Linked DNA regions of Notamacropus eugenii. The protein of the gene in region 3 purifies or fractionates together with the protein of the main gene of each other region. This does not show direct contact. Links are inferred from orthologs where the notes say so. Each region holds a gene or a part of one and is shown on either strand. Other genes may lie near its edges.

The links.
Region 1: the proteins of CAPN1 (region 3) and CAST purify together in Homo sapiens (co-immunoprecipitation; 4 studies listed by BioGRID and IntAct, counting the BioPlex papers as one, with this or other methods). This does not show direct contact. The link is inferred for Notamacropus eugenii from reciprocal best matches to the Homo sapiens genes CAPN1 and CAST.
Region 2: the proteins of CAPN1 (region 3) and CAPNS1 purify together in Homo sapiens (co-immunoprecipitation; 4 studies listed by BioGRID and IntAct, counting the BioPlex papers as one, with this or other methods). This does not show direct contact. The link is inferred for Notamacropus eugenii from reciprocal best matches to the Homo sapiens genes CAPN1 and CAPNS1.

Annotation. Positions count from the first base shown.
Region 1 is NC_092875.1:442,073,050-442,080,009, forward strand, and holds the start of CAST (calpastatin), read right to left. Parts: upstream 3,033-6,960; 5' UTR 2,397-3,032; coding exon 2,316-2,396; intron 1,771-2,315; exon of another isoform or gene 1,618-1,770; coding exon of another isoform or gene 1,588-1,617; intron 1-1,587.
Region 2 is NC_092876.1:33,187,607-33,195,262, reverse strand, and holds the start of CAPNS1 (calpain small subunit 1), read right to left. Parts: upstream 3,084-7,656; 5' UTR 2,954-3,083; intron 2,594-2,953; 5' UTR 2,583-2,593; coding exon 2,365-2,582; intron 1,591-2,364; exon of another isoform or gene 1,393-1,590; intron 1-1,392. Other genes in the region: TBCB (tubulin-folding cofactor B), read right to left, coding at 6,970-7,090, 7,258-7,330. UniProt on the Homo sapiens protein: Regulatory subunit of the calcium-regulated non-lysosomal thiol-protease which catalyzes limited proteolysis of substrates involved in cytoskeletal remodeling and signal transduction. Essential for embryonic development.
Region 3 is NC_092873.1:17,891,154-17,899,245, reverse strand, and holds the start of CAPN1 (calpain-1 catalytic subunit), read right to left. Parts: upstream 3,028-8,092; 5' UTR 2,937-3,027; intron 2,626-2,936; exon of another isoform or gene 2,522-2,625; intron 1,890-2,521; 5' UTR 1,778-1,889; intron 167-1,777; 5' UTR 166-166; coding exon 1-165. UniProt on the Homo sapiens protein: Calcium-regulated non-lysosomal thiol-protease which catalyzes limited proteolysis of substrates involved in cytoskeletal remodeling and signal transduction. Proteolytically cleaves CTBP1 at 'Asn-375', 'Gly-387' and 'His-409'.

The DNA.
Region 1 (6,960 bases), on a different chromosome or scaffold from region 3:
TGGAGGATGATTATAGGTACAAACTAAATTTAAACTAGTCTATGCATTATCACTACAAAGAAAATATAATTTAATGTTAGCATTTCCAACAGTCCCCTATCCCCCAAATTAGAGTTTTTCAAAATATAAGGTTGATATACTGCTAATTTTGTTGATATTAGCCATTATAGTTAGTAGAAATTTGAGATCCAATATTTTATCTTAAACAATTTCACTTGATTTCTTCTAGCTAGCACTTCCTACACACAAACACTCCTTAGATTACATATTCTATGAGTTTATCTTACTTATTCTGATATGTAAAGTTGGGCTACTCACATTTTTTCCCCGAACTTTATTAAACAATGTTCTCCTACGAAAGGACTCACCTAAAAGTGTTTGAAATAATCTCTAATAAGTGTCAAGGGGGAAGAAACAAATGGTTTTTCAGCAGAGTACTCTAGCTACTACAGCTAATTCAGAGATATTCCAAGTAGGGTAAAATATACAGAACAGTCCCCAAATTGAATACAATAATAGGTTTTACAAAGAGATTAGATGGAGTACTAAACTTAAAAAAAAAAATAAAAAGATTTGAGAAATTTAAGTCAGTTTCATTTTATTACTCCAGCATAATTTACCTGGGAAATCATAACTCAGCAAAAAGCAAAGTATGATATTAACTTTGGCTTTATCATGTCTAAATTATGGTATGCTTAGCTATACATCATTTATTCAACATTTTAAACGGAGCCTTAGAAAAAGAATTGAGAAGTTTTATCCAAAGCAAATTTCTACTGAGTATATTTAAGAGGATATTATACTGGCAAACATGGAATAGGAAGTATTCACCATGAAAAACCATAAGGTACACACATAACCAGTTTTTTGAACTGTCTATCATGAAGCAAAGCTGTCAACAAAACTTGAATCAAGCTAACCCATTTGCGCCAACATTTTAAAAAACCCACAATACGGTATTAAATCACAGTTCCTGGTTCCACAACTTTGCAAGCATCAACTTGATTATTTTGCTCATTAGCTGGAAAGATATTCACGAAGTACTAAAGAAATGGAACACCTTCAATCCCTTCCTGCACACAAACCATTTCACATTTTGTGCTACTGCCTGGAGGTCTCCTGATTTACTGGCTTAAAAAGTAAAATAAAATAAAAAGAGGTGGTCCTGGATTTCTGGATGCCCGCCTTCGCTTAAATCAAAAGTACCTAGAGTTGGTTTTTTTTGTTTTGTTTTGTTTTCATTGTCCTGTATCTGAGATCAGGTGAATCTCCACCTTCTCTCAAACCAGGAATTCCCAGGTTTGTAGGGGGGAATTCTTCCACTTCTACAGCCTGGTTCATTCAGACTGTCTGGAGGGCAGGCAGCAGCCACACAAGCCAGATGTACACACATACACACACACAAATACCACAAGTGGGTGAGTCTTTTCTGAAGCTTAACCTTAGGTCCCGAGAAGCAGTGGCATCCTCTCCCCACCCCTTCCTGATCACCAAATAGTCAATGTCTCCCCTACAGGTCTGGGAGAGCAAAGTGAACACACCCGTCTTTCCTGTCCCTCCAAGACAAAAGCCCCATGTCATATTTACCGTCTTGTACCACCAGCTTGCAAAAGCCATGACAAGCCCAGCTAAATCCCCTGAACCGGGCGAAGGACAGGCTTAAGTGAGGAGCTGCGTGTGCGTGAAGGCGCGCCGGCTTAAGGTCTTCACCTGCGCCTGGCTTCAGCTGGCACTTCACTCCTGGCTCTTCTAGCAGCTGCCAGGTGGGAGGGCAAGGCACTGGGCGGGGTCCACCGTGGGCCCCGCCCCGTCAGCCAGATTCGGCCACACTGGAGAGACCGGAGGATGTGTTGTTCCCGGGACAGCCACGCCCTGAAGCTTCGGATTTTGGGGGGGGAAGGGCGGTGTGACAGGCATGGAACAGGGCAGAAATGGCTCGGTTACAGCATTCTGGGCATCTCCAGGGAAGCCGACTTCGCCTTTATCCCCTGGCCCACGGTGCCCTTTTCTCTGTGGCTAACTTTCAGCTGCTTCCTCCGCCAGCCACCCTCTCAGTTCCCTGGGCTGGCACGCGCCACGCCCAGCGGGCTCCCGCAGTCCCGTCGGGTCCCAGGAATCTGCTTCCAACTCGAGCCACGCCCGGTCCCCATCCTCCTGCACCCCCACCCTTTGCCCAAGAGGGTGTCCTGGCCGCAAGCCGGATTGGGCAAAGCCGAGGGAGGAGTCCGGAGGTTGTAGGGCTGTGGTTGACCCCCTCCCCACTCTCTACCACCTTGCCCACCCCTCCTGGGTGGGACGTCTAAGAAGCCACTTACCCCTTCGGCTGCCCGGGCAGCGGCAGCCCGCTTGGGCCGGGGGGAGGCTGCGGGCCTCTTGCCTTTCCCCGGCTGAGACATGGTGACAGCTGCAGATCTCAGAGAGGGTGCAGCGGTGACTGGAGGGCAGGAAGGGGGAGAGAGAGAAGGGAGGAAAGGGGCAGTACAAGCAACAGTGAAGCAGCTTTTCCGATCGAGCCCTGGAGCCAAATCTGGGGCCTCACCCCCAGCAAGTCCCTCCCCTTCCTGCACCCGCTAGTTTCTGCAGCTACCCCCGCCACTGTCCTTTCTAGGGTGTCCGATGCTGCTGATCCACTCCCTTCTTCTGCCTTCACCCAATTGTCTCCCTCCCCCAAACCTCTTCTGCCCAGTGCTCTTTGTACTTTTGGAGAGGAGGGGCAGCAGGGCTGGAGGCCGGCCTCTTAGGGTTTCTTTCTTCAACTTGCCTGGACCGATCTCGTAACTGTGCAGGGAGCGGGACCGGGGCGTGGCCCTCCTATTCTCTGGTCTTCCTTAGGCATTCCAAGAATTAGCACCTTTTCTAGGATTCCACCTTGGCTTGGCCTTCTGGAAAGAGTTGTCATTTGGACTCTGATGACGGGTTGGAACTCTGATTGAAGAGTTAAAACAACACAAAAGCAAATCGGACTGTGTGGATCCCTCCCTCCTCCTCCGTCTTTGGGAAGTTTGGGCAAATCGATGGATCAAGAACTAAGCAAATTGCGATGACTTTCGATGGGAAAAAAGGGAGCTGGTTCCAGTCCATTAAGAAGGGGTCTTAAACTTCAGCCTCAAACCTAATCTTGGTTGGTTCTGATTTGATTGCTTGGCTTATTTCGATGGTTTTAAACAACACTTACTTCCTGGTTTGGGGGTTGAAAGTGAAAATAACAGGAACAGCAAGAAAAGTCTCTTTTGGAGATATACCAGCCCGAGGTGGGCACTGTTTCATGTTCAGACCTGCTAGGCAAACCTGAGGATTTTTGTGATTTATTTGTTTTCAAAATCAGAGTTTCCCCTTCCTCTTCTATATTGTGGTCTGTGGGAGGGAAGATAAAAGTGAAGCCTGCTTTCATGTTGAAGTTGGACTGAACTGAGTTCTGGCTTCTTTTATTTTAGCGATTCAGAAAATCCCTTGGATCCTTCATTCTAGCGTGCAGATATGGATTAGTATTCTCTGTGAGAAATTAAAGCAGGATATTTCATCAAAAAGCATCTCATTCACTACCCTTAAAGTTAGCATCCCCTAAAAGCCATAGGTAGTCGTGTGTGCATCTCATCTTTGAAATGGAGGGACAAGATTGCTGGGATTGATTCTGAAAAGTCAGAATCTAAAGAGTGAAAACTGATATAGGAAACCAACAGCTGATCAAGAAGATAATGTCTGAGAAGTAAGATTTGTCAAATGGTGCAGAGAGGTTAAGATGAATGGACTTGAGATGAGACCATTAGATATGGCAAGTAAGAAATCAGTGGTAATTTTGGAAGGAGCAGTTTGAATTGAGGTTGGAAGCTAGGTTGCAGAGGGCTTAAAAGAGAGTCAGAGGAGAGGAAAGGGAGAGACTAGTTACAGATAGCTCTTTCAAGGATCTGAGAGATGAAGTGAGGAAGACATATAGCATGATGGCTAGAGGAGATGGTCAGATCAAGTGAAGGGGTTTTAAGGATAAGAGAAACATAGGCACATATATTTAGTTATCAGGGAGTCAGTAAATTGGGAAAGATTGAAGATTGGAGAGAATGGGGATGATAGGGGCTGTTCGTTGGAAAAGTTGGGAAAAGGAGCAAGGATACATGTGGAAGGATTTGTCTTGGGAAATTTAAGGGGCCATCTCTTGATCTGAAACCAGAGTGAAGGAAAGGATAGTAGAGGAAGATGCCTGAGTAATGAAACGAGGAAGATAGGAGAAGGAACAGCTCTGCTGAAATGATGTCAGCTTGGGGGAATCTCAAAGTTTGAGGTGTGAGGTCCTTGACTGAAAGGGTGGTGGGAAGGATCATGTTCATAGGCTTAAGGAGAGACAAGGTTTGGAACAACTGCTGTGGAGAGTGAGAGAGCTTGGTTAGTTGTTTATCCTTTGTTTTCAAAGAGGACCATGACATCGGACAGATGATGACTTGCACTTGACTTTGTTTTGAGTGATGGAGGGCTATGCAAGGTCACCAGCCTCATTTTCTCCTCCTGAGCCATCTGGATGACTGGAGACGGCCCAGGATGCAATGGGAGACCTTGGTCTTTTAGGCTAAGGCCTTTCCAGGTACTCACTTAAAGTGAGGTAATGCCCATTCAGTGAATAGGTGTCTTTAAAAAGTAGCCAGGAGGATGGCCCCTTTAATAGAAATAAGAAAATAAATAGATAAATCACTCTGGGAGGGGCAGGAGTCTCAGGGTGGTTGTTTTGAAGAGAAACTGTTACTATTGACTTGCACTCTAAGTCAGCCATTGAGTGGAGGTTGGGCAGGGACCCTTCACTGTTAAATCCATGGGCTTCAGAGTACATAAGGTCCAAGGCTTTAGGGGAGACAAGAAGGAAGGTAAAGGAAGGGAAGGAAAGGGGTTACCCAGATAGCTGGGTCCCCGTTTTAGGCAGCTCGGCCTACTCACAGGTTGTGTTCATCCTTCATTTTTGAAGAGGACCATGATATCAGAAAAATGATGACTTGCACTTGACTTTGTTTTGAGTGAGGGAGGCTTGTGCAAGGTCACCAGCCTCACTTTCTCCTCCTGAGCCATCTGGATCCAGTGACCAGATATTCATCAGGATGACCAAAGATGGCCCAGGATGCAATGGGAGACCTTGGCCTTTTAGGCTAAGACCTTTTCATAGTAGCCAATAAATGATGATAAAGGGGATTACAAAATGTATTCCCCTTCTTATGACAAATATAAGACAAATTGTGTGTGTGTGTGTGTGTGTGTGTGTGTATTTGCATGAGTTCATACACATTTATGAACTAACCAAATTCAACGGGCAAGGGGACATAGGAGTAGGAGGCATGTCCCTTAGGGGAAAGAAACAACAATGAGGCACAAAGGTAGAAGACAGAGCAGGTAGAACTGCACAACATACTCTCAAAATGCAGAATAGTGCAATAGAAAAAAAACACTAAAATTGGGTTCAAATCTGGCCTGCTCTGTCACTGATGTCTGTATACCTTAGGTGAGTTATTTAATTTCCTGGGGCCTCAGTTTCCTCACCTGTAAAATGAGTGAAATGATCTTTAGATGATCTCTAAAGTTCTTTCTAGCTCTAAAGCTGACTCCGTAATATCTGACAGATATTAAAGAAAAGCAGACATAAAGAAGACTGCTAGTTTATTGCTTTGAGGGGACCAGTTGTAATATTCTGCATATTACAAAGAATGCATAGAAATAACAAGGAGAAGGAACTCAGTGAGGTCTGTGGACATGATGGAGCAGCAAGGACTCAATAGAGCAGATGTTCTAGAATATATTCATGTGTGATATTTTCTAAGTTCTCTTAGTGATGCTCCTATCTTATAATTTGGCTATCTACAATGTATGTATGTGTATGTTTATATATATACATATACATATATATATACATGTGTATATGTGTGCATGCACACATATGCGCACACACACACACACACACACACACACTATCCAAAACAAGGAAAGGGATAATCTTGCTACATTCTGCCCTGGTCAAACCACATCTAAAGCACTTTATTCATCTCTGGGAGCCACTTTTAGAAGAACTGAGTAAAATTGGAATGTACTCAGGGGAGGACAATCATGAAGATGAGGAAACATGAGTTAGGAAAGAGTTACATGTTTTCCTTGCTGAAGTGTAAACTCCAGATTTGATAATATAAATGTGTAATGGGCCCAGTCAGCACAGTTTCGTGCAGAGCTCTTCCATTTTTATTTTGTTTTTCTGGCCAAGAGAAATCGTCTTTGGATTGTAAAGGGTAGAGCACAAGAGGTAGTAGAGAGTAACTACCCAAGATAAATATGGAGATGGTAGGGAAATCACCTAGCTTCTCTTGATATATTCAAGTCACTTGGCAAAGAAGAACTACTGTATATATATTTAGGTACTTCTAATATTGGTGGTATATGACTGTGGAACCGTTGTCATTGATATTTAAAGCATCATGGACAGTGGGAGAGGTACCACAGGATTGAAGAAGGGCAAATGTCCCAATTTTACTTTTTTAATTGAATTTAATTTTAATGGAAGAGACTAGAAGCCTCCAAAGCCAGTGAGCTTGACTTCAATTTCTGGTGAAATTATATAAAATATAATAGTGTTTACTAAGTGCCGGGTAGTGTGCTAAATTTTTCACAAATGTCTTTTCACTTGATCTTCACAACAACCCTGGGAGATAAGGTGCTATGGTTATTCCCATTGGTAATCACAAAGAGTTGGCATGCCTTTGTTACAAATAAGTTAGGCAACACTAACATTATTTCCTTTAGTGACAGGTCTACTCACCTGGTAGTTAAAGGGAAATGTGGTAGATACATTTTACCTAGATTATACCCAAGCATTTGATAAAGTGCCTCATGCAATTCTTGTGCAAGTGATTGAGATATGTGGGCTAGATGGATCCAGAGCTGATTGAATAGCTAGACCTAAATAGTTTAAGTTAATGACATGGCGCTTATTTAGCAGGT
Region 2 (7,656 bases), on a different chromosome or scaffold from region 3:
GAACTTTCTCACTGGTGGGGAAAATCTCTTCCACCAATATAAGTGACTGTCTTAGCGCTTCCGTGGCCTGTGGCCTGTGGCCTGCCTTAGGTGAGCTTGGTGAGAAAAGATCAGAGGCAGTATTTGAACACTTGGATCCTCCTGCCTCCCAGGCAGGTCCTCTAACCATCCCCCAAGGTGGTCTGCTGGTCCTTTGATACCACGCTTACTCCTCCCTTACCCCGCAGACCCCCGTGACCTCCTTGGTCCTCCTGGGTCATGTCCAGATCCACCTCCAACATCTGACTTACAAGTACACCTAAGGCCCCCTGTGACTTACAGTTGAGTGGGGGCAGGGCCTGGCACAGTGCTTGGCACTCAGATAACATTTAATAAATGTTTTTCTTCTATTTCTTCCTTCCATCTCAATAAATCCCAAATCAAGCTTTTCCTTTCCCCTAAAATGGCTCCCGGTTCTGAACCCCCTCTTAGGGCCAGGGCTACTTATCATCCTTCTTTTAATCTACAGCTCAAAGCTCAAAATTATCCCCAGACAGTGTGTCTCTCCTCTTCCTCCACCCACCCACTTCCACTGTGGACAGAAGTATCTCTTACCCATACATCTGGGCATTCAATTAAACATCTATTCTGGGCAAAACATATCAATATGGAAAGAAATAGCCCCTGTCCCCAACAAGTCACATTTTCCTGCTGGGTTTAGATAAAGCCTGCCCTCATCCAAAATTGCAACAGGGACCAAAGGATGCAAAGAGACGGCTGGGCAGACCCAAGAGGAGGACCAGGATTCTCTGAAACCCAGGGGAGAGCTTGCTCCATCACCAGTATCCTGTCTTCCCAGTCTTAGAAAGCCCTTCCCTTGGACTAGTGTTCACCCAGATAGGGTAACCCAGCATTCTCTGCCTTTTGACTCGGTATCTCCCCGGCTGCATTTCTGTCCTCCATCCCTACTGCCCACTAGCAGCTGACCCCCAAGACCCCCTTCTTCTCCCTGGCTCCTCCCTAAATGACCACTCTGACTTGCTCTGCCCTGGGGACTACAGCCTTGGGAAGGTACAGAGTACCTTTTCAGGTACAGATGGTACCCCCTGGTCCTCCCCCCAAGTCTTCTGCCCCAGGCAGACCCGGTTCAGTAGGGACTGCCCAAAAGGAAACGGATAAAACCGAATGGGGACAGGGCAAGATGCTTCCTGGATTTACTCCCCAGGCTCAAAAACCATCATCAGCTCCCAGCTGCCTCCAAATCCTCACCTTCCCAGACTTGACTCAAGACTCCTTTCCACCAGCTCTATTCTCCAGCCATGACTGTTTTTTGCCCCCTCCCCCTCCTGGACTCCTGAGCTCTGACCCCATCTGGGGACCGCCCCCAGCCCCAGCTGCTCAGCCCCTACCCACCCTCTGTTATGCAAGTTCGGAGTCTCCAATTACAGAACCATAGATATGTGGCTGGAATGGGCCTAGGAGATCACCTAGTCCGGGCCCCTTTTACAGAAAAGGAAATTAAGGCCTGGAGAAGAGACAAGACGCCGCAAATCACACAAATGAAATTTCAGAGGCAGAGCGGGAACCCTGTTCCTCTGAACCAAGCTGCTTCCCAAAGAGAGAATGCTCTTTAGACCCCACAAGACCCCCTGGAATGTGTCGGGCTGACCCTCGGTGTCTCAGGCTCCTACCAGACTCTAGCTGAGTTCCCATTTTATCTAAGCTGTGTATCTTTCCAGGCTCCCCGCAGGAGGGGTGATTTAGTCCACCAGCCCCGAGTCCTGTCCATGCCCCGTCCCCACCTCCTGCGACACTGCGCGATCCTGGGTTCCCTCTGATTGATGCAGTGTGACTCTGTGAGCCCTCAGTTTCCTCAACTGTAAAATGAGTGATGAAGAAGTGGGCTAGTGAGGCCCCTTCCAGAGATCCCAACACACCGATAAGTGTCAGGTTCTTTTCAACATTAAGACCATGGAGTCCCACCCCCCCCTCATTAATGGGAGGTCGTGGCTCTGCTGAGCTGGGCTGTGACTGGAGCCCACAAACCCGGGGATCCTCACAAGGTATACGGAGCCAGGTGGGGCGACCCCTCCTCTGCCACATACCTGCCATGACTCTACTGCCGCTGGCTAAGATGGCTCATGCTTATTCACCACCGCGCTCCGGCCCAGTCTCCAGACCTCTCACGGAACAGTGGACCCCACTACATGTCCCGGGGTTCCCCATGTTTGAGGGTCCCCGTATCGCAGGTCCCCTCATGTCTCGGGCTCCTCATATCCCAGCCCCACCGTGTCTCAGGGCTCCCCACATCCCAGGACCTCCCCATGTCCGAGGCCCCCAGTGTTCCAGGGCCCCCCAGGCTGAGCTCCCCCAGCCCCCGCTCACCTGATGGCGCTGATGACACCGCCTAGGAACCCCATGGCACCCCCAGCTCCTCCGCCGCCGCCACCGCCGCCGCCACCGCCTCCGCTAAGTAGCCCCCCGATGACATTGCCGATGCCTCCAGCACCGCCGCCGCCGCCGCTGAGCAGCCCCCCGAGAGCTCTGCCTGCGCCCCCGCCGCCGCCGCCCTTCCCGCCCAGGAATGAATTAACCAGGAACATGTCTCCGGGACCTGGGGGCCAGAGTCAGGACGCCGGCCGCGGTCAGCTATGGGGCGGGGGGTCAGGGGGAGTCGGGGGCCCCGCTCCTGATGGTCCCGAGGAGGGTGGGTACTGGGGCACGGTTTGGGGATACTGAGATTCAGGGGAGGCCGGGGCTGGCTTCCGGGAGTCAAGGCTAGGGGTCCTGGGTTGTTAGGGTGCTCCGCGGGTGTGGGGGATCCTTAGGGTCTCTTGCTCGTGCCCAAGTAGGGGGGTCAGGAAGCACGAGGGGAGGGGGCACTGAAGCCGGGGTTCAGGGGGACTCAAGGCCAGGCTGGGGGAGACTCGAGCGGGGTTGGGGAGCCCGGACTTGGGGCGGGGGGCGCTCTCACCCTGATCTCGGCCTCAGTTTCCCCAGCCGCGGTCTGGCCTCCTACCCTCCTTGCTCGACTCCTCTCGGTCCGGCTACAGGACGGTCGGGCGGGGCCGGGGTGACTCAGGGGTGGCCCCGCCCGAGGCGATGTGCCTTCCCCGGGCGTCCGCGTGGTCCTAAAGCCCGTCTCGCAGACTGTCCGGTGCCGCCCCTCCCCTTCCCGCTGCATAACGGGACCCGGGCGCCCCGCCCACCAGCTGCTCCCTGGAACCGGGCCCAGCCCTCCCGCCCTGCGGGGTCCCGGAGAGACGCGGGGCGAGGGCGTGCCTGCGCCTTTAAGAGTCCCATCCCCGCCTCCCCCCAGCCAGTGACTCGGAAAACGCTCTCGGGCCCCACGCGGGGCGGAACACGCGAGGGGGTGGGGGACTCCTGGGTCCCCGGAGGTGCGGCCGGGGGAGGGCATAGCCGCTGGACCGGCCCAGTCTAGCTGAGGGAGGAGGGCAGAGGAAACGGCCCCCCTCGGGGCGTGGGTGATTCCTCGGTCCCCGTTCTGTCCCCGCCCCCGGAAGTCGGGGCCTGGTTCATTCCTCAGTCCCCGGGACCGGCCCGAGACGCGGAAGTGGGGACCCCCCCCCCCGGGGCCGTGTCCTGGTCGGAGGCCAGTGATGACGGTAATGCCCCCTCCTGAAGGGGGCAATGGGAGCAGGGGCCTCCCTACTCCGGGCTCGCCCCGCTCTCCTCACGACTCCTCCAGTCCTGCCCGTCCCATTGCGTGAGACCACCGCGGTCCACAGCCCCGGGCTCCCCGCTGCCCCTGGGCCACGTCCAAGGCTGGTTTCACCTCCGAAGCCCTGGATCCCCCGGCCCCCACCTCCCTGTCCATCCTCTCTGGACGCTTGTGCCCCCCGAGGTCCGGCCACCCCCTGAGGTGCCTCACTCAGGACCCATGCCTTTCCCCTTGTCCCCCATCAGAACGTAGACTTGTGCGGAGGGATCGATCGTTCGCAATGGAACGGCAACAAGCATTTGTGAAGCGTCTGCTACATTCCAAGCCCCGCTGCCAAGGCTGACAAACAGGATCCTTGGGTTTCCCCGGTATCGTCCCAGGACAAAGCCTGGCTCTTAGCAGAGACTGATAAAGCCTGAGCCATCTACAATGCTGCGAAGTCCATCGACGTCTGAAAGCGTAACCTCGGAAAAGACTCTCTTAAAAACTAGTGGGAAAACTGAAGTCTGGCAGAAATGAGGTTTAGACCAACATGACAGACCATACTCCACAATAAATTCAAAATGAACATGTGACCGGAATGTAAACGCCCAAAGGAGTGGAGCTAGACCTGCCATTTCCTTGAAGTAGGGAGCTCCCAGATGAAAGCATTCCCACCACTAGTTCTCCAGCGAACCCTTTGCAATTTAGTGCCTAGAGGCACCGAGAGGCTGGAGAGCTCTGGAACACAGGTCTTGACGACTCCTGAACATCCCATCTCCACTATGCCACAGATGATGGCTCTGGAGAAGTGAGGCTGGTGATCTGCACAGCCCTTCCTCGCTCAGAACAAAGATAAGTGCAAGTCACATCACCATTTCTCTGATGGCATGGTCTGCTTCAGCAACGAAGCACAGACACAATCCTATGAGCAGACCCAGCTGGCTGAATGGGGACCCAGCTAGCTGGGTAACTCAACCCCTCCTCTCCTGTCTGCCTTCCCCTCCCCCCTTTCTTCTCTTCTCCAAAGGAAGGTAAATTTGGATAGCCAAAAGATGCCCAGGTGACTTGGGTTTTACTTACTGGCTAGCCTCCCTTCCCTACCCTTCTCAGAACCTTGAGCCTAGAACCTTGAGCCTACTGCACTCCGTAACTCAGACACCATGGGGCTCCTGCCCCTGCCTAAAGGCTCTCTTCTGGACCTTCCGGGCTTCAGAGTGATTATCAACGTTAAGTGTTGCTGTTTCCCTCCCAGTCTGATGTCTTCCTCTTCCTTGCCTCATTAAAGGGAACAGGCCCTGATTAGTTTTACCTCACCCTAACTTAGTACCTGCACAGGTCAGGCCAAGGTCTCCCAGTGCATCCTGGGCCATCTCCAGTCATCCTGATGAATATCCGGTCACTGGACCCAGATGGCTCTGGAGAAGTGAGGCTGGTGACCTGCACAGCCCTCCCTCACTCAAAACAAAGTCAAGTGCAAGTCAGGTCATCATTTCTCTGATGACATGGTAGTCTTCGGCAATGAAGGAGGAACAATGCCAGTTGACTGATTAGGGTGAGATTAAAAGAATTTTAAAAAAACTAGAAGCTCATCACATGCCTTGCACAGATATGGATAAAGGGTGGGCTCTTTCTTTTAGCATTCCTCCTCCTCCCTGCAAGCATCTCACATAACAAATGGTTTTTAAAGCAAAAAAAGAAAAAGCACAGTCATGGAATATATTTTAACCATCAGGGCGCAGAGCTGTGGTCCTCGCAGCTCCACAAAGGGCAGGGGTGCGTCGGCAGCATCCTTAACTGTTCTGGAGTCATGCTTGAGCTTTATGTAACTTGGAGGAGGTAACGTCTTTACCAAAGGATAAGGGAAATGACAAAAGAGTTAATTTTGCTTACTTGAAATTAAAAAGTTTTGCATGAACAAAATTAATGCAAAGAGAGAAAGCAGTCGACTATGGAGAAAAAAAAAATCTGCGTCTGCTATCTCTGATGTGGGTTTCATATCCACACTATGTAAAAACCTAACAGAAACATCAGAGGCCAAAAGTAATTCCAACAGAGATGTGGGCAAGCAATCTGGACATTTCTCAGAAGAACTGTCAATTACTAACGATATAAAAGAATGCTCCAAATTACTAAGAATTAGAAAAATGCCAATCAAAATAATGCCAAGGCTTCCCTTTAAACTTTAGCAAACTGATAAGAATGACAAAAGGAAAGCATGGTCTCACTTGCACTGTTTTAAACCTTTTATTTTAACATGGGGGTGGGAGGGGAGAAAAACCACTCACCTCACCATCGTGGAGACCTCCCAGTAAGGCAGTTAGAACCCTTTAGTCACTTTAAGGGCCTGATGGGACCTGCCCAAGGTCACCAAGCCCTAACGTATAAGAGGTAGGGCTTGAGTCTCAAGACTTCCTGCCTACAAACTGAGCTACCTCTATCTCAACTGTTGTTGTTTAGTTGGGTCCCACTCTTCATCAGAAACGGAGGCAACCAGGGTGAAGTGACTTGCCCAGGCTCACACAGCTAAGTGTCTGAGGTGGGATTTGAACTCAGAGAGAAGAGTCTTCCAGGCCCAGCACTATGGCACCCTCTAGCTGCTGTATTTCAGCAGCTTTCTATTAAGATCTCCCCAGTATAAAATGATACCAAGTTTGGCCCAAAAGAAGAGATGCGAGCATATACCTCCCCCCCTTCTCTACACAGCTAGGGGATTATGGGTGTTGAACGCTGCAGATGCTGATGGGTTAACTTGTTTTCATTTTTATTCTGCTGTAGGAAAGGCCTTCAGGAGAGGCAGATGATGGAAGAACAAGAAATCCACACTAAAGATGAGCCACCTGCCTCCAGTCTCTCTCCTCTTCAAAATAGCTTCCAAACAAACCCCTAAAAAGTTGTTCTGAAAGCCCAGATAGTCAGCAGGTCAGAGGCCACTTCGGGGCTGACCAGATGTGAGGAAAGTGAAGGCCAGCCTCCCTGTCAGACTCACTGCTGCTCCTCCAGTTGTTCAGGGCCCCCTTACCCCAAGCTCCCCTCCCTGATCACCCACAATCTTCAGCAATGAAATGCCCTCTCCCTAGCCCTCAAGAACCCAGGCTGCCTCCAAGGGATTCAGAGGCATTTAATTCACTTGTCTCACAACCTCACAAGAGCCAAGGGGAAAATAAGATAAAAAATACAACTCAAAATAGGGAAGGCAAGAGAGAATACACCACAGACACGAAACAGGAGGGAGGGGCCCGGGCTGGAGGGTGGGGAAGAGAAAGGGAGGCTGCATCCAAGGGGACAACCCCCCCAGTAGTGTGTAACCCCCCACCCCCACCAGGGGGTCACATCTCATCATCGTCCAGTCCATAATCCTCCTCTGGGAAGTCTCCTACGGTCACCGTGTGTGGCTTGACAAAGGCACCATACTTGTCCTGGCACTCAAAGTAGCGTTTGCCGTTCACACTGCAGATGACAGAGACTAAAAGAGGTCACAGGGCTACCCGGACACATTCACTCACATTCATACCCACAATCACACCCACTAACAAAAACACACACCCACACTCACACACACAAACACACTCTCCTACACACACTCACAGAGAGAGTCCCAGGGTGTCTCGCCTCACCTGCCATCATGCTTCCCCAGCGGTTCATCATAGCGGATGCCAACCCAGTAGCCAGGCTTGAAATCCGTGAGTCCTGCCCACAAGAAGCAGCTCATTCAGGACCCAGCTAAGGGCAGGGCCACAACAGCAGCTCCTGTCTCTCTAGCCTGGGGGACTGACCCATTCTGCAGAGAAGCTGGGGCTGTCACTTCCTGCCCTCCCCTCCTCTGGCTCCTCAATAAGCTCTCAACTATCACACAGATGCCAGACTGTGTCCCTGCCCTCTGTATTCATCTCCAGGGGTTCTCAATCACAATTTATCACTGCAGCCCCTGCACCACCCACCTCTGTGACTCGAACAAATTGTCCATGCAGCTGACCAGGCAGCATCTCCCCTTTCTCTTCGATTATGAACAGTTC
Region 3 (8,092 bases):
AAGGACCCCAGACCGCAGGCACTGGGCCCGTAGCTGCTCATAGTCCTGGCCCTGGTACTTAATGGCTTTCTCATGGCAGCCCAGGCCTAGCTCCTTGGCCCGCTGCTTCTGCAGTTGGGCAGACACCCCCGTACAGTATACAGGGGTGATGATCTCTTCTGTCATCCTGGGGAGGCAAGAGAAGGAGGAACAAGAGTCCAGGCCTGCTCCCCTCTCAGAGTTTTGAGCCTGGAGTTTTGAGCCTCCCCTAACCCCATCTCCCACCCACCCCCACTACTCCTTCAGAACTCCAGCCTCAGTCTCCCACTCCCAATCTCTGGGCTGCCTTCTCAGAACTCATGGGTCCTAGAAGGCCTCAACTCACCTCCTCTCCCTATCATCAAGATGTTTAACCCTTAACAGTCAAAACTCAAAGGTGCTTTCCATCCCCAGCCCTAGTTCCTTTTCAGAACCCAGGGATCCTAGTTCCCAGCTCACCTGTCCAGCCCCATCTTCAAGATTCGCTCCAGAATTTTGTCATCCTTGTCCCTCAAACCCTACCTCCCTCACATATCTCCCCATCTCAAGATGTCCAACTCCTCACTCCCTTCACTCCAGCCCCATGAGAGGATTGAGGACTAGGAGAGAATTAGAGAGATCGGCCCCTCCGAGCACCGAGCACCGTAATTCACAGGAGACAGAGCCACAGAAGAAAAAGGACTTTGCTGAGGTCACACAAGGAGAAGGAGTAGAAGCCAAGTCTTCTTAATCCAAATTCAGAGCTCCTCTTATTCCATTGCCCACTCCCTGCTTGGCACCCCAGACCACCACCCTCAGGACAGCCATCTTTTCAAGCAGCAAGCCTGGGGCTCCTGGGTGTCAGCCCCATGCTTGAGATATCCAACCCCTCCCACTCCAAACCCCAGCATCTGAACTCTATTTTAGCCACCTCTCCCCCAGAGCCTAGAGCCCCAACAGCAAGCCCAACTATGTCCCTTCTCAGAACTGGGGCTTGGGGGGAAGGTCTGGCCCCTGAGTCACCTCCCTCCCCATTATTTTCTGAAGCTTAGTGTCCTGCCCCAACCTCAAGTCCCCTCCCTTATCCAGAGGTCGTACCCCGCCCCACCCCCCAGTCAGACAAGAGCATCAAGAGGGAGACCCAGAGAAGGAAAGCACTTGCCCAGTGTCACACAAGACATAATTATAGAGCAGGGGTAGAATTTGAACCCAGATCTTCTGACTTCAAATTTAACTCTGTGCCATCTCCCATATTATGTGGGATTTTTTTTCCTCCCCTTCTCTTAGAACCGAGTCTCAGGCTTCTAATAGTGACCTGATGGGCTGGGTGGAATGGGATATTAGACAAGATTGGAATAGTGGGAGTGGGGGACAGATGAAAGCTTCTCTGGAGGCCCTACTTCCACTTCCTCATCACCCCCAATCCAGCGAGCTGCCTGCAGACAACATTGTCCCTTTTCCCTTTGCAGCTGGTCTACAGCACTCTGGCCTGAGACCTGGCCTTAAGGCCGGGCATCAGAGGACTCCAGGTTCCCAGGACTGGAATCTGGACCACACCCAAGCTCTTCCCTCTGCTCAGAGAGCCCCACCAAAGGAGGGGAAACTCTAACTGGCTGCACTGACTCCACCACCCCCCCCCCCAACTGAGAAGATGGGGATGCCTGGGTCCCAAAGCCAATCCGAAGTCCCAGAGGGTGACCTGGGACACCTGTCTCGAAAACTCGATCCCAACCCCTGTGCCTGAATTCGGGTGGCTCAGGGAAGCCTGAAGCCCTCTTACCTCGGCCTGGGTCTGATCGGTGCCCGTCAATCCGTCCGTCCGTCCTTCGGTCCGTCGGGGCTGCCTTCCCTGGCCACTCCGGAAGGGTCTCAGCTCCGGCTCGGTTTGTTCACTGGTAGGGCCCAACAAGGAAGAATCTGGTCCCCGCCCTGCCCGCCTACCCCAAAGCCTCGGAGCCTTACTGGTCCCCTCCCACTGCCTCTCTCCTCCCACTGCCTCCTCCCCAGCTGACTCGGGTTTTCTCTGACGGCTGGTGCTGAGGTCAGGCACCAGACGCAGTCTCTTGGGGGCCCTCCCCAGGCTGGGGCTTGGGGCCAGCAGAGGGAGAAGACAAGGTTGGGACTGGGGAAAGGGGAATAGGCTGAGCCGCTGGGGCAGAGGCAGGACTTGGGGCTGAAGGGTATTGCCAGCTGACCAGGGAGCGGGAAGCGGGGTGCGGTATTTTTAACCAGCGAGCAGCTCGGGTTACAGGGCTGGGCAGGCGCCGCCCTGCTGCTGCAGCCCCCCCACCCAACTCTGTCCAGATGAGGGTTCCCCATTTCATCCCTCTCGTCCCTCCCTTGGCCAGGCTTGGACGCCCCCTCCCCACCCCCACCATGCCAAGATAAGGGCTCCCTAATTCCTTGTCCCTCCATATCCCGCCTTCCCGCCCCTCCCTTAGCCAGGTTCGGATGCCCCCAGGTTCCCCATAGCTGATCCGGCTGCCCACGCCGGCCCAGCGGAGCAGGGCTGAGATTACATTACCTTGGGCTCTAACCGCGGCTGCAGAGACAAGGGCAGCAGCAGACGCTCCCGGGGCGGGGAGAGGGGGGAGGTGCTCGAAGTGTGGTTACCTCCCCTTCGAGGCGGCCCCCTCCCGCCCCTGTTTGGGACGGCTCCCCCTCCCCCTTCCCCTTCCCTGCGCTGCAGTGCCCTGGCCTTGGACGCCTCCGCAGGCTGCGCGCCCCCTCTGCAGGACAGTCGGAAGACTGGACAGCTCCGCTCCACCTCCCCCCTTTCGCATCGGGGCGATCGTGGGGGGTTGCTTTCAGAAGCAATCAGGTCCTGCCCTCCAGCAGCTCCCACTTTACTACAGGAAGCCGTGTGGGAAATGGGGGCGTTGGTCTAGAGGGTCTCTGAGGTCCATCTAAGGTTCTATGCGTGATCCTGAGACACTTACCCTCTCTGGGCCTCAGTTTCTCCATCTGTAAAATTCCAGCACTGGACTGGAGGACCCCTGATGACCGTTCCAGCACTAGACCTAGGATCTACTATGTAGATATATACAAAATTTTAAGATCAAGGTCCATTCCAACAGACATTTTTATAAAGTAACTACTACCATGTACAAGACAAAGCAGAGTTAAATAGGGAAACAAAGACAAAGTGAAAAACAAGAGTTTACATTCTGAGCACCTACTGTATGCCAACAGCACTTTCTTAAGTGTATAGAGAGCCAGGCCTAGAGTCAGGAAGACTCATCTTGCTGAATTCAAATATGACCTCAGACACTTACTAGCTGTGTGACCCTGGGCAAGTCACTTCACCCTCTTTGCCTCAGTTTCCTCATCTGTAAAATGAGCTGGAAAAGGAAATGGCGAACCACTCCAGTATCTTTGCCAAGAAAACCCCAAATGGAATCATGGAGAGTCGAACGCAATGGAAATGACTCAACCACAAAAATATGCTGGAGAGTTTCATAATCTAGAAGATTAACATCAGATGATTTATAAACAAAGCATCTCAAACTCTAGGGTTAGCCACCTTGAGCACAGTGCTGGAGAGCAGGTCCCCACGGGCCAGCTCTATTCCCTGTCCCCCCAAACTGGGCCTTTCAGTTGGCCCCATCAGAAGTGTAACCTGCTGTGACACCTAGTACTGCAAATGAATGATGAAAAGCATTTATCAAGCACTTACTAAACAGAGCAGTCGATAGAGTGCAAGTCACTTTATTTGTTTGTCTGTTTCCTCAACTGAAAAAAATAGAGATTACAGCCCCTATTTCCCACAGCTGCAGTGACACTCAAATCAGATAGTACTTGTAAAGTGCTTGGCACCTTGCAGGCATTTAATCAGTGCTTGCTTCTGTCAGGTACGAATACCCCTTCCTTGTAATCCTTAAGGTGCTATGAAAATCAAAGCAATCATCAAAACATCTCAGGCCTCTCCAAAGCTTCCCGAGTTAGGCCTGGGTTAATACAGGAGCTTCTTAACAAACCTCCCTCTGATTTATCCCTTCCCCCAAATCCATCCTTGTCAAGAACCTTAAGTGGGCACTTAATAATTGCTTGCTTGATTCACAGTAGTTGCTAAATAAATGCTTGTTTCATTGCCACCCTGTACCACCACCAAATCTTAGAGCTAGAAGAGGTTAGCAGTGATAATATTTAATATAAATTTTGGACTTTAATAAGGGCCAAAGTTTGAATTAAGAAGAGCCTGGACCTAATAGTCTCCTTTGTTTAACTTAGAGGACACCTTTTGATGTCAGGCAAACAAATGGGACTTCCCTTACCAGACCCTTCTTCTGGCATCTTAGCGATAAGGAAAAACCCAGATATCTTGGGTTGTAACTTCAGCTTTGTCAGCTCTGTTAAGATACCACAACTTCAAAGGCCTGGATATCTGTCATCACAGTGGTGAGACTTTCTCCTTATCTTAAGTCACAGAGACATGCTACAGAAAGGAGATTCCCACACTTGGGATCATAAAACCCAATTGACACTATTTTGTTAATTGTCTTACCAAATTTACAATGTGTTTATCTAAGAGAGCTGCTTTCTCATGGTAAAAGGTACTTAAGACAGTCAACTTCTGTACTGAGGGAGCCAGTTCTGATCCTGGCTCCATAACACTATATAACCATTATCTTTATGGGGAATTGATTAATTAATTAAATCATAAAATGTATGCATTTAGCCTGTTGCCTTTTCTCTAACCAAGTTTTCAGGTTAACAGCAGATACCAACTAGTCTAACTGATGCCTAGAACTGGAACTCAGATTCTGGGCAGCTTGAGTTCAAATCCTGCTTGAGCATTTTCTAACTGGATGACCTCTCTATATCTCAGATCTCTCCTTAGTAAAATGGGCATAATAATAGCAGCGGCCTCACAGGGTGGTTGTAAGGATCACAAAGTCTTTTCTATTTGCATATGGTTTGCATTATTTTGCATATATTCATTTGCATATTGGCTCCCCCACTAGATTGTAAACTCCTTGAGGGCAGGCACTGTCTTTTGCCTCTTTTTGTACCACCAGAACTTAGCACAGTGCCTGGCACATAGTAGGTGCTTAATAAATCTTTATTGCTTGATTACTGATCAAATGAGGGAGCCTACATAAAGCATTTGTAATCATTAAAGCACCACTGAAGTGCTAATTATTACTCAGAGGCAACATCTTATAGATAGAGAGCTGGCCTTGGAGTCAGAAAAACCTGGGGTTTATATCCCACTTCTGGTACTAATGACTGTGTGACCCTGGGCCAGTGACTTCCAATCTCTAAGCAGCTCTCCAAGACTTGCCTTGGTGGAGGGAATGTACTAATGTGCTGCTTGTAGTTCAGTCCTTTCAGTCATGTTCAATTCTTCATGACTCCAGTTGGGGTTTTCTTGGCAGAGAATCTGGAGCCGTTTGTGATTGCCATATCCAACCCTATACTAACAGGGCAGCTAGGATAGAGAGAGCTAGGCATTGCATCGGAAAGACTCCTTTTCCTGAATTCAAATCTTACTTATTGTAACAGCCAGCACCCTGACACCTCCAGGATGGCCTGCTAGCACAGGTTCTTAGATCAGCTTTTCTAAAAGCAATCTTTGAGGGCTCAATGATCTTCTTTAATCATATATACCAACAGAGAAAATACAAGCTGAGAAATATAAAGACCAACAGACAGGGCTTCCAACTGTCTGACCATAAGCAATACATATGTCACAGATCAACAGACAGATCCAACTGTCTAACCATTACATATATACCAGAGAGAGAAGCACCAACATCTGGCCATTATGTGGTGGGCGTGAGAGAAGGAGAGGGAGGAGTGGAGGATATTCCTAAAGCGGTGAATCTAGTGACTGGGAGGATGGTGGTACCTGAGACAATAATAGGTAAGTCTGGAAGAGGGGAGGGTTTGAGGAAGGGAGAGAGACAATGGGCTTTGTTTTGGATATGCTGAATTTGAGTTGCCTCTGGGACTTCAGCTTGAAAAGTCCAAGATGCTACATACCTCCATCCAAGCTGACATTGAGCCATTAGTGAGTCAACAAGCAATGATTAAGTACCTGCTATGTACTGGGCAATGGTGCTAAGCCTGGGGGTTCAAATAAAGGCAAAAGTCAAGCTGGTCCTCCTGGAGATTATATTCTAATGTAAATAACTAGGTATATCCATGATAAATACACAGAGTAGAAGAAAGGTGTTCTGGGGGCAAGGCACTATGGAAACCAAGAAAGATCTTCCTCAGAAGGTAGGATGTACACTGTCTGAAGGAAGCCAGTGAAGCTAAGACAAAGAAATGAGAGGGGCAGAGTATGGGAGATAGCCACTGCAAAGGGACACAGTCAGGAAATGGAGCATCATAGTCAGAGAACATGTTGCTGAATCATAGAGTATGTGGAAAGGAGGAAGGTACTAGGAGACTGGAAAGGGAGGAAAGGACCAATCTGTGAAAAGCTTTCACTTGAAGGCAGAGGGGTTGGTGATTGATCCTGGACATACAGGGAACTACTGGAGCTCATTGACCAGAAGGGATGGACATGGCCAGAACGTGGCTAAGCACTAGAGATACTAAAAAAGGCAAAAGTTGTTTCTTCCCTACAGGGCTGTCTGATTGGGGAGATGATATGCAGACAAACATGTGCAAAGTGAGATATATACAGGATAAACAGAAAATGATTCAAAGAGAAAAGGCACTAGAATTAAGAGGAGTTGGAGAAGGCTTCTGGCAGAAGGTGAGTTGAGACTTGAAGCCAGAGAAAATCATTTTGATGGCTGAGTCAAAGGGGACTGGAGTCGGGGGTGACTTGGGTCCAGGAGTCCAGGTTATAAGGTGTATCAATAGTCCCAGAGCAGGTGATGAGGAGCTGATGACTGAGAGAGTGAAAAGAAAGGGATGTATAGGAAAGATGTTGTAATAGTAGAAGTATCACTATTTGGCAGCTACTGGGACATATGGGTTAAGTACAAGTGAAAAGTCCAGTATGACTCTCAGGGGCTGGGAGGATGACAGTGCCCTCAATAGTAATAGGGAGGCTGGCAGGGTTTGAGGCAAAAGTATGATGAGTGCTGTTAGGGATGGGTCATGTTTAGGAGGTCTACAGGACATCCAGTTAAGAGTTGTCAGAAAGACAATATAGGTGATTGAGAGTGTCAGAGGCTGCAAAGAGTCAGGATAGAGAAAAAGTCATTGGATTGGGCAATGAGGAAATCTTTGGTAACTATGGAGAGGGCAGTTTCAGTTGAAAGAAGTCGGAAGTCATTGCAGAATTTAGAAGAGAATGAGGAGAGAGGAAGTGGAGAAGGCAGTGAGTGTAGACAGCTTTCTCAAGGAAGGTGGTAGGGATCAAGTGAAGAATTTGTGATCATATTTGAAGGCAGAAGCTAAGGGGCCAGTAGAGAGAGAGGACTGAAGATTAATGAGAAACTGGGGGTGAGAGAGGGATGAATATGCTGGAGAGGTTGGGAGGGGATATAATAAGAGGCCCTGGCACCTCTTTATTGGTAACCAGAGTAAAGGAGGTAGTGAGGAAAACTGTTGGAATAAGGTATGATAAAAAAGAGAAAGGGCGAGCTGTCCTTACCTGTCCCCAACTTTAAGACCTTAATTTAGAAAGGCCAAGGTCACCCATTGCATCCTGGGGCATTGCCACTTTGGTCTTGCCACTAGACTTTGACAACTTCTGGTGGAGAGTGAGGCTGATGACTTAATCCAATTCATGACCAAGTCAAAATAAGGCACTTGTGAAGTCATTGGTCTCCATCAAATCAGGGAAGTAGAAAGCAAGATTCTCAGCTGAAAGGGTGAGGGAAGGGAAGGGTGGGAGGACTGAGGAGAGGGGGGATTTTTGGAACCTCTGGGAGAGGAAGATAGTAAATCAATTGGAAAAGAATAGAATGTTTGCCCTGTGGCCCATTAACATTAGATAAGTTTGTAGTAGAGGCATCTTGCTTTCCTCCATTCACCAGCATGTGAACAGGAACAAAAGAGGCAAATGGAGGGGAGTCCAAGACTGGGGAGCTGGTCAGCTGCGACCAGTTCTAGGACAAGGGGACAATGGTTATATGTTATTGTTGTTGCATTGAGACCTTTCAGTCATATCGGACTCTGTGATCTCATT